Saccharomyces cerevisiae S288C: one gene and its partners. Changing the gene in region 4 together with the main gene of any one other region gives a genetic interaction. Each region holds a gene or a part of one and is shown on either strand. Other genes may lie near its edges.

Region 1 (3,493 bases), on a different chromosome or scaffold from region 4:
CAGTGAGCCAAAAGCCGTTTATTCTATGAGTTTCCAAAAATTTAACAAAATCATCCTTTGTGGACATCTCATATTTATAGAATTCTACCCTTTCTGCCAGTTTGCGATATTCAGGAAGATGACTGGCGACTTCCCATTGGGTTTTATAAGGCACCAAAATTCTTGGTTTGGCAGAATAAGTTACATCTGCTATGTCAATTGAAGTAATCATTGTTATTTAAAGGTTGCTACTTTTGTACACTCAAGTATTTTTCTGTATTTGAGAGAGAGCTATTTGTACTCCACACTCCACCTTTTAGATCTGCGTCAAAGTGTCAGAATAAACATACCGTAAAACGGAATGACTACCGCCACCCCAATGACATAAAAACGGAAGAAAAAGAGCAAAAACCGAGCGCCAAACTATCTTATTCAACGAATCAAATAACAATACAAATGCAGAGGTAAAACATTATTCGCCACATATATATGTACATATCTATATGTATACATATTTTTATATATCAATCTTTTGAAGAGCAAAGTGACCTCTTTGTTGTTATCCAAAGTTTAACCAGTCCAGTTAAGCCGGATCCCAGGGACAGAACGGCATACGTTCCCTTTGGAGTTTTTAAATTTAGAATATCTGATGTATTAGCCATGCAATCAAACGATAATCTTGCAATATCTAAATAAACAAGTGTCTTTTCATCCTTGATGGCCTTTAGTTGTTTGTGTATTAACACCTCTGCGTCGTTATTAACATTTAGGTCATTTAACAACTGTTTCCTAATTGGCGATTGTGAGCCATCGTCTTTATGGGCCTGATGCATCAGTATGGGTGAGAGTAGTAACGCGTTATTTTGAACTTTTAGTTGCACTTCCAATTCTAATTGTCTCTTCTGTAAGCTTTGCAGGTTGAGCCAATGGTCCTTCAAGCTTAAAAGAATGTCGTATTGCCATGCAAGAGACTCTTGTCTACTGACAAAGGAATAGAATGATTTATTTGTCCATATTTTCAATTTGTATAGCAAGTCTAATTCATCAAAGATACCATAATACAAGTCCAAAAATTCTCTCAATGAAGCTTCATTAAACCATATTTTCTTAATTTGGTCAATTTGAAAGTTGCACTTTCTGGTTTTATTGAATTTCCCCAAGAAACTGCACACTCGGAATGGTGTGCCGCCAAACCTTAAAATATATCTAAAAGTACTTAATTGTTGACTGATAAAATCAATTTTCTTGTCAAAATTTCTCAAAAGAGACAGGAGAAGTACTTTAATTACCGTGATTGGATGCCTTAGTGCGACTTTTACAGTCAGATTTTTCAAAATCTTGGTATAGTACGTTAATACGGAAGGGTCCAAAACAGTTAAATTTCGCTTAGACTTTTCGATAAACAGTTTTAATATATCCAGAGCGTATTTGATAATTTTGGCTAATTTGTCTCTACCAGATAGAGAATCCAATATATATTTTAAGATGGTAATATTATCCACCATCTTTGTTTTTGCTTGAGAATCCTCATCATCACTTCTCGAGGATTCAGTATGCGACTCGCTTCCACTGCCTGCACTGAACTTCTCTGCACCGGCGTCTGATGAATGTGGATGGGTATTGTCATCCTGGGCGTCCTGGTAACTTGCCCCAGAATAAGGTGGTGTTTCTGAACCGGAAACGATATCTGTCGTGCCAAACTGACTCATTGTTTTACGACCAGTTTCTATAGGTGAAGACTTACAGGGAAGTTGAGGATATCGACTCTATTTGTTACTTTCTCCAGCATACAAATTACCGATGATTCTGAGAAGAAAGAAGAAAAACGTATTTCAAAAATTATATAACCTGAAATAATAAGCCCAATCCCACCGGAATTTCATATACTATCACCGACCTGGAAAAAAAATGAAGAGTAAAAAGAAAAAAATAAATTTAGCGCCGCTCGGTTTCGATCCGAGGACATCAGGGTTATGAGCCCTGCGCGCTTCCACTGCGCCACGGCGCTGCTAAATCATGTGAGTTTAGCGCGTACCGAGCAAATTCACCAAAATATTTACATCCAATTTGCTCCCCTCACTCTTCCCCGATGTCGGTTGTGATTACTGCTACGCATGGCGACTCTTAATTTCTTTCAGGTATAGTAACATTTACTCCTTTAAGTAATTGTCTATTTTTCCTCGACACTGTATGTAGTTACCTTTCAAGGAAGCTATTCCAATACCATCGTGAGAAAAACTCTATTGGATACTTCATCTAGCTCGTATATATGCTTTTTAAACTTTATACCAAACCGTGTAGGCAAAACTGGACCGCCCGGTAAGTTCTGCTATTAACAAATTAAATAAAATTGGCCAAACTGAGGATTGACAGTTCTGAATATCCAAGATTACTGACTTCAATTTTCTCACTTCTCATCATAATATTCCGCTGATTTTTACATACCGTATATCCAATTTACGGCCCTTCACATATAGCGGCGAAATGATGGTAAAGCTACGCATACTGTCTGACAGGACCCTATTCTAGCAACCTTACATGAAACAAAAACAAACAACATCACATCATACGGATGAACTACGGGTGCAATCCCTGACTCATCAATGTTTATCATAAACTTAGATATCAACACTGATAAACCCCACCTCTATTTTTACTGGTTCTTCACTTTTTCGATGCCGCACCGTCGCCCGCGATCCCCGCCCTTTGATTGCTCCTTCCATTAACAGTTTTTTTCTATCCCTTACAAGAAGCCGAGACGCCGCGAAAATATCGGCTAGTGCGAATAGTCTCTAGCTCTTGCCCTTCGCAAAGCACCGTGCTGCTAATGGCAATCAACAGCGCATCGCCGCTCGCTGAATTTTTCACTTAGCGGTAGCCGCCGAGGGGTCTAAAGAGTATATAAGCAGAGCTTGCGGCCCACTTTCTATCAAGATCTAAGACTGTTTCTCTTCTCTTGGTCTGTATATGTTTTCTCAAAGTTAGCAGAAACAACAACAACAACTATATCAATAACAATAACTACTATCAAGATGGAAACAGGACCTCATTACAACTACTACAAAAATCGCGAATTGTCCATCGTTCTGGCTCCATTCAGCGGCGGTCAGGGTAAGCTTGGTGTCGAGAAGGGCCCTAAATACATGCTTAAGCATGGTCTGCAAACAAGCATAGAGGATTTGGGCTGGTCTACGGAATTAGAGCCCTCAATGGACGAGGCCCAATTTGTGGGAAAGTTGAAAATGGAGAAGGACTCCACAACTGGGGGTTCCTCTGTTATGATAGACGGTGTCAAGGCTAAAAGAGCAGATTTGGTTGGTGAAGCCACCAAGTTGGTGTACAACTCCGTGTCGAAAGTGGTCCAGGCGAACAGATTCCCCTTGACCTTGGGTGGTGATCATTCAATAGCCATTGGTACTGTATCCGCGGTTTTGGACAAATACCCCGATGCTGGTCTTTTATGGATAGACGCCCACGCTGATATAAACACCATAGAAAGCACCCCCTCTGGAAA
Region 2 (4,919 bases), on a different chromosome or scaffold from region 4:
TGAATTGAAAAACATGTCTTCAAATCCGCCACCCATTGGAGACCCACCTGCACTTCCTCGGAACCCTGAAGCAGCACCTCTGGATGGCATTTGTCTATCGTCAGGATCCCTACCTATCCTGTCATAAATACTGCGCTTTTCCTCATTGCTTAGTACTTCAAATGCCCTATTAATTACTTTGAAAGCTTCTCCCGCTTTTGGATGAGAGTTTTTATCAGGATGCAATTTGATTGCTAGTTTTCTGTATGCCTTCTTGATCTCACTATCTGTGGCTTTCCTATCTACCTTCAAAATTTCGTAAAACTCATGCTTGTCTTTTGACAGTATTTCTAGCGCGATTTTTTCTTGATCCTCAGTGAAAGACATGTTCTTCCTATTATAGACCTTCCACAAGTTATATTGCAGAAACAGCGTTGCTGCTATTATGGCTTCTGGAAGTAGAGGTGTATGAAAAGAACTTCTGCCAGCTTCCTTTATGTTCTTCACGAATACTTTCCAGCCTACTCTGCGGGTTACCCACTATACAAATACCATAATATGTTACGCGGTCCGCTATATACGAATCTACTATGTACGTCGAACATCATTAATCAAGTTTTTGGGGTTGTCATACATGGCTAAAACGCTCAGGATATCACGTAGGTGTTTCAAACCCCTTGTTGGTGGAGACCAATCCTGGTAAGTTCGCCAAATCTCTGTTAATCTTCTCAAAGCTTCCACGGTGTCCCTCTGAAAAACAGGGCCAGAAGTACTCGTGGTACTATCCAAGAAGCAGTTTAATGAGATGGAGAGCCTCAACGCATGTGGTATCTCTCGCTGCGGTAAATTTTTCAATTGAATCAATTTGGAGAAGGAATCATGAATTTTCCATACCAAATCATATTGATTGACAGTATTCAATATGCTTGTAGGAGTGTCGAGGTCGATGTTTAAACGTAAATGCTTACGACTTAATGGGTTTTTCGTGAATATTGTATTGTACAGAAAGCATTTATAGACTTTATCGTCATCATAAATGTCTGAATATATCCTTACGAAATCCGAAGATTTTTCGTTTTGATACTGCACAAACTGCAAAAAATCCTTTACCGTAGAAATATTCTCTGGCAATAATGATTCCGATGATGAACCGAGACTTTCACCCTCCCTTTGGTCGTAATTGAGTTGATGACCATTCATTTTCCACTTACTGTCCATTTCTTGAAGCCAGATTTTGTTGCTGTTCTGGTACTGTTTCCTAATATTTGGAGGCAATGTGTAATCATTAAATGACCTTGAAATAAAAAAAGGACTTAGTAAATTAATTATGGGAATAAATTGTTTATATCCTAAATTCTCCGTTATCATCAAAATATCCCATAAGGTTATTTCGAAAAGTCTGTTGGTGGGAATCTTCAATCTCGATTCAAAATTAGGGGTCCTTACATGGACGTCATTAATGTTACTAGTTGCTTCATCATCGGTATCAAGGTTTAAATTATTAGCATTCTTTAAATCAATGCCCATGTACTTCCCATTGCACCATAAATTTCTCAAGATTTTAGGGTGATTATAATCTATAGCAAGTTTTTCTGAAATTGTCATAAAATTATCATAAAGCTTACCAAAAAATGTCAGTCGAAACGTATCCCAATTGAACAAGAGCCAATCCAATGCATCCTGAACTAGTTTAGATTCACTAGAATCTATCCGCCTATAATTTTTGATTTTAGATAATGTGTCTTGTTGCTTTTTGTCAATGCCCTGAAATAACTGTTTTTCTTTGATTTGTTGGCTCTTCGTTGTGAAATCATTATTTGAATCATGATCATTACTATCATTTTCGTTAGTACTGGAATTGGAACCCAAGTTATTATAACTATTGCTAGTAAAGTCAGTGCTGTGGTCCCAAAATCGATAGCCTTGTAAACATGACTGGAAACTCAATACACTCACTGTAGTGTTTTCATCAAACTCTAGAACTTCATTATTTTGCACGATATATTTCGCTAATAGCAAAGTTAAGGGAACGCTGTGATAAACGCCCACAAAAAAAATTGAATCTACCTCTTTGAAAAGATGAGCCCAGTGGTTCAGTAACTCTACACATTCTTTATATGTAGGTATTAAATCTTGATTATGCAGTGGGCACTGGAACGATAGGGTCAAGACTCTTTGAGGTTGTTCTTGCGCTAGATTTTGTGACAATTTTCTAGAAAGATAATAAGCCGATCTTTGTGATTCTAATGAGCGCTGCTCATACTTTTCTGGTAAATCCCCCACGACGGATATTATAATAATTCTCTTATCCTTCAGTAATGCGGTTTTTTTTTGTCTTAAATAGAGATGTTGCTCATTAGGGAAGTTATAGTAATTTTTGATAGTATTCAATACCTTAGTTCTTAGTGGTTGGACGTGCAGAAAATTCAAAGGGTTATCTGATGGTAGGATTAAAGAATCATTAATAAATACATTATACCCAGGGTTACCTCCCTCCCCAGGATATTTGTTTAATGGCAATGGGCATTTGGCTGATCCTGTACCAGAGACACTGATTATTCCTGGGGTATCTATGGAATCAATTATGTTTGATGAATTTGATATATGTGGAATTGCTTCGTACCAACACCATGATTTCGACTTTTTTGAAATTATATCCTTAGCCTCATTTTCCAAGAAGTTGATTTGTTCAGTGTTTAGTTGAGAGTAGCGGGTATTATCATCAACAACAATTGGGGCACTTCTATATCTGGATGTTGCAAAAGAAGCGATTTTAGACCATATCCCTTTATTGTCATTATTCGAGTTCACGCTATCTTGAAAATCCGTTGTCGGACTACTCCTTCCTTGTCCATTAGGATATTCTGCAATTCTTCCCGTGTTTGGCTCATCGTCGGCAGTGGAATTCCACCAGGGTTTCCATCTGTTTTGTTGTCGTGGACGTTGGGGTGGGACTTCCTGCTGGTCCTCTCGTATCTGCTGCTGCTCTTGTGTTTGATGCTGCAACTGTTTATCCTGTTTCTGCTGCACAACATCCATTATAATAGCGTTTTATATGTTGTGCTAAATTGCTACTACACTTGCTCGCTTTTACTTATTCTGTTTGTAGTTGACCTTTATTTAACGTTGATTTTTGTTATTAACCTGCGCGAATCTGTATTAAGGGCGCATATTCCATGGGCAATTTCATTATAACAGAAAGGAAGAAAGCAAAGGAGGAAAGAAGCAATCCACAAACAGATAGCATGGATGATTTGTTAATTCGTAGACTAACAGATCGAAACGACAAGGAGGCCCATTTAAATGAGTTGTTTCAAGATAATAGTGGCGCCATTGGTGGCAACATTGTCAGCCATGACGATGCTTTATTGAATACACTGGCAATTCTACAAAAAGAACTGAAAAGTAAGGAGCAAGAAATACGAAGATTGAAAGAAGTTATTGCGTTGAAAAATAAGAATACGGAAAGGTTGAATGACGAATTGATTAGTGGAACCATTGAAAATAATGTTTTACAACAAAAACTCTCGGATCTGAAAAAAGAACATTCCCAGCTAGTTGCGAGATGGCTAAAAAAGACAGAGAAAGAGACAGAAGCCATGAACAGCGAAATAGATGGAACGAAATGATGCATCAGTTGTCAAATCGTCACAAAATGCATACAAAAGAAAATAAAATCATTGTGGTGCATATACATGGACAGAATATGAAACGCCAAAGTGTTTGCAATAAAGAGGTGAAAATATGTTAAACATGCTATAGAGAGTACACCTGCAAGTTAAGAAAATGCCATTCGTGTTTTTATCTACTATAATGTAATGTGACAGCTGTTTTAAACCTTTCTTAAGGTCGTTTGTGCGAGAACAGGCTTTTTTTTTGGAGAATGTATCTTGAGAGAAACTCAATAGTAATAACTGGATGCATAAAGAAAATTTCATATGAATCACTACAAATCTTTGGCGTTAGAATTCTATTGGGTAAATTGAACTTTGTAGCTTTTTGATGGTAAACTTGGCGGTTTTGCGCGACCCATGATCCTAAGAAACCCGCAGTTTCTATTAGGATTCACGATGGTCTTTATCTCACCTTCTATTATGTGTAAGTTGAAATGCCCCTTGCTGTTCTTATAGCAGAAAGCTTTTTTTTTCATTTATAGGACTAGCATTTTGGCATTGGAAGGGAAAAAATCATGCTTTCATTGAAAAATGAAAAGAAACATATCGTTATTTTGTGGGAACACTGAAGTATAATTTTTTGTTTCGGAAATTTACCATTGCATAGTGGGTATTTTCATCGAAAGTTGGCTAAAGAATGCATGCGGCCTGTTCATTCTGGTTATGAGCATTTCAATTGGTTAGTATATTGGCGTGAGTGGAAAGAATAGTGGATAAAAACTAAGAGACCCGTTCATTCTCCTGATACGATCTTGCGGTAAACCTTATATTTTTGGGGAGGGTACTGTAATATCTCATAACTCCGCGTATTATTGTGGATGTAACTTGTTGCTGATCCTCTCGCTGAGGCCATCATTATACGTGAGTCGAAGGATGGCCGAAATTTTATGATACTACACCGAAATTAAACCGTCGTCTAATTTAAGATGGCTGAAATGCAAAAACCTGGTTCTTTAAGTGGAAAATAGAAGACTAAATGGTTTCATTGCTATTTATGGTGCAAGAAGATGGCTTAAAGATTAAGAAGCATTAATCAGATTTAATGGAAGCTGAAGTGCAAAGGTTGATTATGTAGCGATCTCTAACGACAATTGTTGGAATGAAAATGAACTATCATCTATCAACTAGTAGTTACACTACCAGTATGTTATCATGTACGGTGTTAGATGATGACATAAGGTATGAGAAACTGTCATGGAAGTTAGACGAAGCTGAAATGCAAGGATTGATAATGTAATAACATAATGACACATATAAAACAGAGTG
Region 3 (3,887 bases), on a different chromosome or scaffold from region 4:
ACTGCTACTACGATCATTCATATGTTCAGCTTCTCTGATATCTTGAAGTTCATAATTATCATCATCCTTACCAAAACGCAGATTCCTTTCATGTGTCTTTTCTGAACTATTATCAAGTTCGAATTCGAACGCGTCATTGCTTGCAGACTCATTTGACTCATTCAAAACCTCAGCCTCTTCACTAACTGAGGACGAATCATTGTCTTCATTAGGAAATGTAAACTGCTTGTTGGCACCTTCTGTGGCAGAACCACGGGAAAGCTGGTTATTATGGATTGGGCTACCGTGAGATCGAAAGCTTTCACTCTCTTGAAATCTTGAAGACGCTCTTATTGGTGTACAATTCGAAAAGTTATCAGGATGCAAGGACGTTTGACTGGCATTTCTAGACTCGGCCGCAACTTTATAGCCACCTAGTCCATCTTCTTGTACTCTCATGGCAAAATCTCTCAAACTGTTAGAGTCGTTCGATTCCTGTGGAAGCTGAAACGGGTCTACGTACCATGACCGACCAATTGCAGGTGGGGTAGCGCTTCTCACATTATATTTACTACTATGCATGCTACCAACAAAGGGATCTGAAGGCGGCTGTTGCAAGGTCTTTTCCATGAAGTCTTGCTGCGAGTCGCTAGAGTACAAATGATTTATTCCAGGTGAATAATCCTTCATTGTCGGTAAAAATTCAGAATCTCCTTCGAAATCTGGATCATTATCTTCCTCAGCTTCCTTTTTGCTTCTCCTATACACAATGCAAAGTATCACAGCCAGAACAATGATAATGACACCTACTGGTACCGCAACAGCCACACCAACAGTTACACTGGTGCTGTGACTCGAATCTGTGGGTAATTGACATTGCTGTTTAGAGCCTGTACATTCAGCAGATTTGCTATTTTTCGTGCTGGATGCTGAGGAAGAAGATGAATCGCTATCGTCTCTTCTAGTGAGCCTTGCATAAGCATAAGACGCATCAGAAACACTTACCGTTGAAGTCACAGATATTAAACTTTCATGCATATGGGTGTGGTACATCGCGAACTATATCTTTGTTAGAACTATGTGACGCTATATGAGTTCAACGAAAAACTATGAAAGGTAATGAAAGAATGAAAAGAAGAACCAGTGAAAAATTCGATATGGATAAAGACAAGGCCTGCTCCCCACAAAAGCTTCACCATGAGTTTGTTATTGATTATTAAAAGTTCTTATTGAGATAAAAAGAGAAAAAATACGGAAGAAACCTTGTCTTTTCGATGAACTTTCCTATTTGGGTGAGCAGTTTTCCTCTTCGAGCTGCAAAAAAGTTTATCGCTTCGCGAAAAAAAAAAAAAAAAAAATTTAAAGAATTTCAAAACGTGTCAGGGCTACTAAATAATTGAACGAGGTCTATGAAATAAAATGGGCTGAGAAAATTTCAAGAAAAAGGAAATAAGTAAGGGCTATTTAGGGTTAGTGGAATGGCTTTTATTATTTCCGCCGCGATGAACTTCCCTTTTATTGTGACATGATAGACATAAATATGACGAATGCCTACGAATTGGAGTCATCAGTAGATAGAACCATAATGAATAAGATAAAAACGCAGGTATTTAGGGTGACAAAGAGATAATATATCTTCAGCAAATGAGTGAGACCAGCTCAAGTCGCAGGAGCGCGAGTAAAGACGCTGTCAAATCTTACTTCGCAGGCAAATACAATAAAGTGTTGGATTCTATACTGGAGGCAGAAGCAGCAATATCAAAATCGCCAACTGTAGCAGAAGATCTATCAGGAAGCTCCTCCAGCGGAAATTCTGAGATGAGCCATCCTTCGCTAACCGCCTCCTCCGCAACAAGCCAAGGCATTAGCAAAAAGGAACTACTCCAACAAATTGCTGGTTCATTATTCAGTACGTCCATTGAGCGCCTGAAGACTGCCCACTCATCAGAAGTATCAAGTACTCCGGAATATTCAGTAAATGATTCGTATGGAGAGCAAGAGTGCAGGGAGTGCGATGGTGTTTTCAAGTGTTCAGCGCACTTTGAGGGCGCGCCCGAATATTATGACGATGAAACCGAATCAGGGCCAGCTCTAGAACCTATGACTTCCAATAGTGAAAAAGATCCTTTTATCGATGTATTTTTGGATAAACTAATATCGAGGTTGGTCCCTGAAAAGCTACCAGAAAGAGAGCATTTTAGTAGCAAAACCACCATTGAGCATGATCTAGACACAGGAAGGGTTCCCGTGTTTTCAGCAACTACATTGGGTAGTAATTTCAAAAAATTGTCTAAGAAAATGGGCTCAATATTTGAACTCCAGGACTCCATAGTTCGACTGCTGACTTGGAGAAACCCTACCGGGACGGTGACGTCGTTAATATTATTCACTTTGATATGTTTTAATCCAATGTACTTGGTAATTTTGCCTATATTCCGCTTTGTCTATGGTATTGTAGTTCCTGGCTATGTGCGTAAACATCCTTTACAAAGGAGTATATATCCTCTGAAACGGAATCACGGATCATCATTGTTATATGATGTGTGCTATGAGGGAAAAAATGAGTACAGCTACGGTCAACAGTTTTTCTCCAAATCTTTTATGGACACTTTGGAATCAAGAAATCAAGAAATAGACGAAATATCAGAATTAGATAAAAGAACCGAAAACACAGGGGAATTGAAACAAGGAATGAAAGTACTAATTAATTTACGCGATATGCAAAACATGACCTCTGGTACCCTTCATGTTATTGAGGCAATCAATAGTTTTCTTCGTAAGTCTTCTAGTTTTCAAAACGAAGAGTGCTCCACTAAACGTTTTTTTACAGGATTTCTTTTGATTGTTTTCTTAAAAATATTATCACCATTTGTGAATTGGAGCTATGTATGTAGCATATTCGCCTGGTGCTTACTGATATATATGCATCCAAGAGCTCATCCAAAAATAATAAGTTTTTTCAAAACAGGAACAATGGGAAAAGAATACAAAAACTTGAAAAAAAGAGAACACCAGGCGCTTAACATGATATTCGATGAACAACCGGAAACTAAATTCATCGAGATTTTTGAAATATATAAAAAGGCCTTACTGCCGAACGACTGGAAGTTTTTCCGATATTCAAATAGAATTTTCGATCCTCAAGATCCGTATAGAAGAGCACAGCAATTCCCACCGGGAGTAGATTCTTTGGCTGATGTTATTCCCCCCACAGGCTGGTCATTTGATCCTAATTTTGAGTGGAAAATTGACAATGATGTGGATAGGTGGGTGGTAGAACGTGGGTTGAATCTGCCAATTACCGGCGAATTCTTATTTGATCCAATGTTCAAGAGGAGGAGACTGATACATCGTGTTATTAAGAATGCAACACCAGTAGCATAATGCACAATTGTTTTCCTTCACCTACAACCCCACCCCTCTTCTTGGGGAAATCATTGTATTACGTACTTTTTTCCTAAAGATATTAGAAAAAAAAATGTTATGTATCAATATTACTAGGTAAAATACAAAAATGCGCTTTTGAAGTATAAATAATACAGTTTTGTTTTAAGAAATGCTATATATGAATTAATAATAAATGAAACGAAAAAAAGCACTACTTGAGTTTTAATGTCGTAAAACTTGAGAAAATTCTAAAGTGTCAGAAAAAAAGTGATTTTTAAGAAGGGACACCTTCTAGCTCGGATTTAGAGATTTTATTGATAACTCTTCTCCAATTTTTTCTATTATCATAAATGGGGACCCTCAATACACTCAAGTAAACGACAATACACAGTAGGGCAAAGGAACAGACTGACGCAGGGACCATCATTGTTACGAAATTTCTCCTAGAAATGACTTTTTCATATGGGCAACTAGCATAAGGACCACCACTTACCCAACAATTGCTTACTGATATAGAGTTC
Region 4 (4,114 bases):
CGATATCAAATCATGCTGCCAGAACAACTGAAAAGTGGGAAATTTTGCTCCCATTGCGGGTGTGTTTACGTTCCTAATTTTAACGCAAGTCTTCAGTTAACGACTAATACCGAGCAAGGTGACTCCGACGAACTTGGCGGCGAGAGTATGGAAGGACCAAAAAAATGTATCCAGGTTAATTGCTTGAATTGTGAAAAGTCTAAATTGTTTGAGTGGAAATCTGAGTTCGTTGTTCCAACATTTGGACAAGATGTTAGTCCGATGATCAATAGTACCAGCAGCGGGAAGGTTTCGTACGCGGTAAAGAAGCCCCAAAAGAGTAAAACTAGTACTGGTAAGGAGAGATCCAAGAAGAGAAAGTTGAACTCACTTACAAACCTTTTATCGAAAAGAAATCAAGAGAAAAAAATGGAAAAGAAGAAAAGTTCGTCACTGTCATTAGAAAGTTTTATGAAAAGTTGACTGTATCATCAGTGAACATATAGTATAACAAATCAAGTTTATATAGTTGAATTGAGAGTGTCTGTTAGCTCTTCGATTGACGGATAAGATGCATCCGCGTCGATATTGTTGAGATTAGGAATAGTACCGTTTATACTTTCCTCATCAGCGCGGTCATCATCACTACTGTGAGTTAGACCGCCACTCATTGAACCCTTCGTCACGCCATGTACGCCTTGCCTATATGTTTCTTCCCTCAATGGATTAACTACTTCCTCCTCACCAAGGTTTGAAGAAATACCAGAATCCAGTTTTTTCCGCACGCAACTGTTGGTCCACATTCGCCTTCTATATGAGCCCCTTTGTCCATCAAGATTGAGGTCATAGACCCATTTTGTTTCTGAATCTATCTCGACATACTGAATAAATTCGTCCTCTACCCATTCTTTTGGATCCAAATCAAGCACCCAATGAGAATTGGCTTCCCATTCCCAATCCTTAGGTGGCTCAATTTCTTCTAATGACTTCACTGAATTTTCCTCAATACGCCTCTGGTATATTCTCAAACTAGAGAAAAGAGAATAATCGTCATCAGAGAATCCAACTGGGCGCCATTCTTTGTATTCAGGAAGATACTTTTGGATCTCAAAGATCATAACAAGTCGGTGCTCCCTAGCCTCAATGAGTTTCAAATGCTGCAAAATCTTAGATTCCAGATTAGTACTTATAGTCAAAGTTTTTAATCTTGTCTCCTCCGAATTCAATTTAGTCAACAAATATTCACGATTGGACGGATGCGAGGCAATAAAAAAACCCCAACCTAGCAGTATCAGTACGGGTCTCATTGGAATGAGCTTGATAAATTTATCCATGTACAGAAAATTTAATGTTGCTATTATTAACAATACAATAAAATAAAACGACGAAATAGCCTCGTTGGTGAAGAATGCAAACTTTTGTAATATGAGTAAAGTAAAATCGTAGAATTTAACATATAGCAGCATATGGTTTTGTAAATCCGTGAGGTTTAAGACAAATTCTTGGCTCAGTTCAGGGACTGGTTTAGGAACCTCAGGTCTTCGCAAAGGTGGGCCTTGTGCTGGTGTTTGATTATTATCTAGATAGCTTGTAGGGTTTGGCTTATGAATGTAAAGGTATTGCGGGACCATTACGCAGAATAACAAATAGAATATAGGGAGCGAAGAAAGCATTTGAAAAGGTTTCAATATAATGAGCGTGTATAAGAACATGATAGATACTGTATACGCTGGGTTAGTCCAGTTTAATATCTTTATTAATTCATCCATAATCATGAATGGTACCCCTAGTCTCGAGTTCATCTGTATAAAATTCCTACTCGTGATCTGCACAGACAGCTTAGGCCTTTCTTTACCAGCAACCATACGATGGTGAATTGTATCAACAGCCGTTTTGGAAGATGGTGGTAATGCCATTTTGATTATCTTCTCTACCAGGGTATCTGCCATCATCTTTTGGATGTTTGATGTCGAGGGAAAACCGCCACCACTAGTTGGCTGTCCACTGGAAGATGGCAGACTACCACGTGTAGGATCACTAGTTCTAGAACCACTAGATATGCTCTCTTTCTTTGCCTGACTTTTTCCATCTATGCCATTTTGCACTTTCTTCCCCTTGAGAGTTGATCTAGTTGGAGTACCAGCATTATAGGTGTCATTCCAGAAAAAATTTGTCACCGAGTCCATCTAGACGTATATACAGTAGGAGACTGAAATTTTGCTACGTATACAGGTGAGTATATTCATGCGGCCTGATCAGTAATTAAAAATACACACTATTCCTCGTTGTTATTTCTTAAAATTAGTTCAAGAAGAAGGGGTAACCCCTAAGCTTCTTAAGTTCACCACAAAAGTATTACTGGATAGTGAAACAACAACCACCCATAACATTAGTTTCCTAAACACTACGGCGGTATTCACCTAGACGCCATCCTAGAAGGCTACAAAGTGATGCACGTATGATGATATCGGACATTAGAGCGTATACATACAACAGGTACACATAAAATTGTGATATGTCACAGCTTCATCACCCGGCGGACACGTCTATTAAATTATCAATAATTACATAATGTGCAGATCAAATAAACAATAAACATACAGCCATTTAAATTTTGGTTATTAATGTTATTTTTCATTTCTATTGCTTGCAGTGGTATTTATGTGGTATAGTTAAGCCTGCAGGAATATTTAAGCAAAGAGGGAAAATTATGAATAAAGAAGAGCAAGAAGACCCACAGCAAGAGCAAATATCAACTGTTCAGGAAAATGATCCCAGGAATTTGCAGCAACTGGGAATGCTGTTAGTATCTCCAGGGCTTGATGAAGACAGATTGAGTGAGAAAATGATTTCGAAGATCAAAAAATCCAGGGATATCGAAAAAAATCAAAAATTGCTCATATCTAGGCTGTCGCAAAAAGAGGAAGATCATAGTGGTAAGCCTCCTACCATTACGACTTCTCCAGCAGAGAAAACCGTACCCTTTAAGTCGCTGAATCATTCTTTAAAGAGGAAAAGGGTACCTCCAGCGCTAAATTTTTCCGATATACAAGCATCTTCTCATTTGCATGGATCTAAAAGTGCTCCACCAAACATAACAAGATTTCCGCAGCACAAAAATAGCCTTAGGGTCAGATATATGGGTAGGATGGCTCCTACGAATCAAGATTATCATCCTTCAGTGGCCAATTCATATATGACAGCAACCTACCCTTATCCATATACTGGACTGCCACCAGTACCATGCTACCCATATTCTTCAACTCCAACACAAACGCACGCATACGAAGGCTATTATTCCCCGATGTATCCCGGCCCCTTGTATAATAATGGTATAATACCAGCCGACTACCATGCAAAGAGGAAGAAGTTGGCTGGTAGATCACCACACTTGGAAGATTTGACATCGAGAAAAAGAACCTTTGTCTCCAAACACCACAACGGAGACCCAATCATAAGTAAGACTGATGAAGACATTGAATGCTCTGTCACGAAAAATTCATTAAGTGAGGGCGCTTCACTTAACGACGATGCCGATGATGACAACGACAAAGAAAGGATCATTATTGGAGAAATCTCTCTGTATGATGATGTTTTCAAATTTGAAGTTCGCGACGACAAAAATGACTATATGAAAGCATGTGAAACAATCTGGACTGAATGGCATAACTTGAAGAAATGACGAGATTTCACTTCTTCACGCTATAGAATGCACCTAAAACTCGCCTGCACTCCGAAACGAAATGCGATACAGTACGTGTCATGCGGTTAGTATATATACATATATATATATATATATATATTCAAATAAATTATAACGTATTAAATAATATGTGAAAAAAGAGGGAGAGTTAGATAGGATCAGTTGGTCAACTCATGGTAGTATTCGTCATAATGTTGTACTTCACTAGCTATTTCTGTAGCATCAAAATCTGATGTGTGTTTGGTGTCCCTAATCAAATCAGTGACTTCGTTCAGGTTCAATTCTAAAAAGTTTTCTAAGAACTGGCCAACTTCCGTATTTTCGTGATTGCCTTGTAAATTGTTCAAGACATATGACCATGTAGCTTTCTTATTGGCGTATGCATATATGTTGACGTCGACTGCGCTGTGACCATGCGTGGTCCAGCCAATT

What was found.
Region 1: of PEX29 (region 4) and PEX25, extra expression of one rescues a mutant of the other (dosage rescue), as found in Saccharomyces cerevisiae (one study listed by BioGRID).
Region 2: mutations in PEX29 (region 4) and CVM1 together harm fitness more than expected from each alone (negative genetic interaction), as found in Saccharomyces cerevisiae (2 studies listed by BioGRID).
Region 3: of PEX29 (region 4) and PEX28, changing one enhances a phenotype caused by changing the other (phenotypic enhancement), as found in Saccharomyces cerevisiae (one study listed by BioGRID).

Annotation. Positions count from the first base shown.
Region 1 is NC_001148.4:336,933-340,425, forward strand, and holds PEX25 (Pex25p), read right to left. Parts: upstream 1,689-3,493; coding exon 504-1,688; downstream 1-503. Other genes in the region: YPL113C (glyoxylate reductase), read right to left, coding at 1-211; CAR1 (arginase), read left to right, coding at 3,012-3,493. UniProt on the Saccharomyces cerevisiae protein: Required for regulation of peroxisome size and maintenance. Has a role in the import of peroxisomal matrix proteins. Imports RHO1 into the peroxisome. Also promotes peroxisome division and biogenesis.
Region 2 is NC_001145.3:573,165-578,083, reverse strand, and holds CVM1 (Cvm1p), read right to left. Parts: upstream 3,019-4,919; coding exon 568-3,018; downstream 1-567. Other genes in the region: type I HSP40 co-chaperone HLJ1, read right to left, coding at 1-366; ATG16 (Atg16p), read left to right, coding at 3,156-3,608; YMR158C-A (uncharacterized protein), read left to right, coding at 4,753-4,890.
Region 3 is NC_001140.6:395,628-399,514, forward strand, and holds PEX28 (Pex28p), read left to right. Parts: upstream 1-1,623; coding exon 1,624-3,363; downstream 3,364-3,887. Other genes in the region: SKG6 (Skg6p), read right to left, coding at 1-1,032; MTC6 (Mtc6p), read right to left, coding at 3,641-3,887. UniProt on the Saccharomyces cerevisiae protein: Involved in the regulation of peroxisome number, size and distribution.
Region 4 is NC_001136.10:1,414,710-1,418,823, forward strand, and holds PEX29 (Pex29p), read right to left. Parts: upstream 2,166-4,114; coding exon 501-2,165; downstream 1-500. Other genes in the region: SNM1 (Snm1p), read left to right, coding at 1-462; DIG2 (Dig2p), read left to right, coding at 2,690-3,661; alkaline phosphatase PHO8, read right to left, coding at 3,841-4,114. UniProt on the Saccharomyces cerevisiae protein: Involved in the regulation of peroxisome number, size and distribution.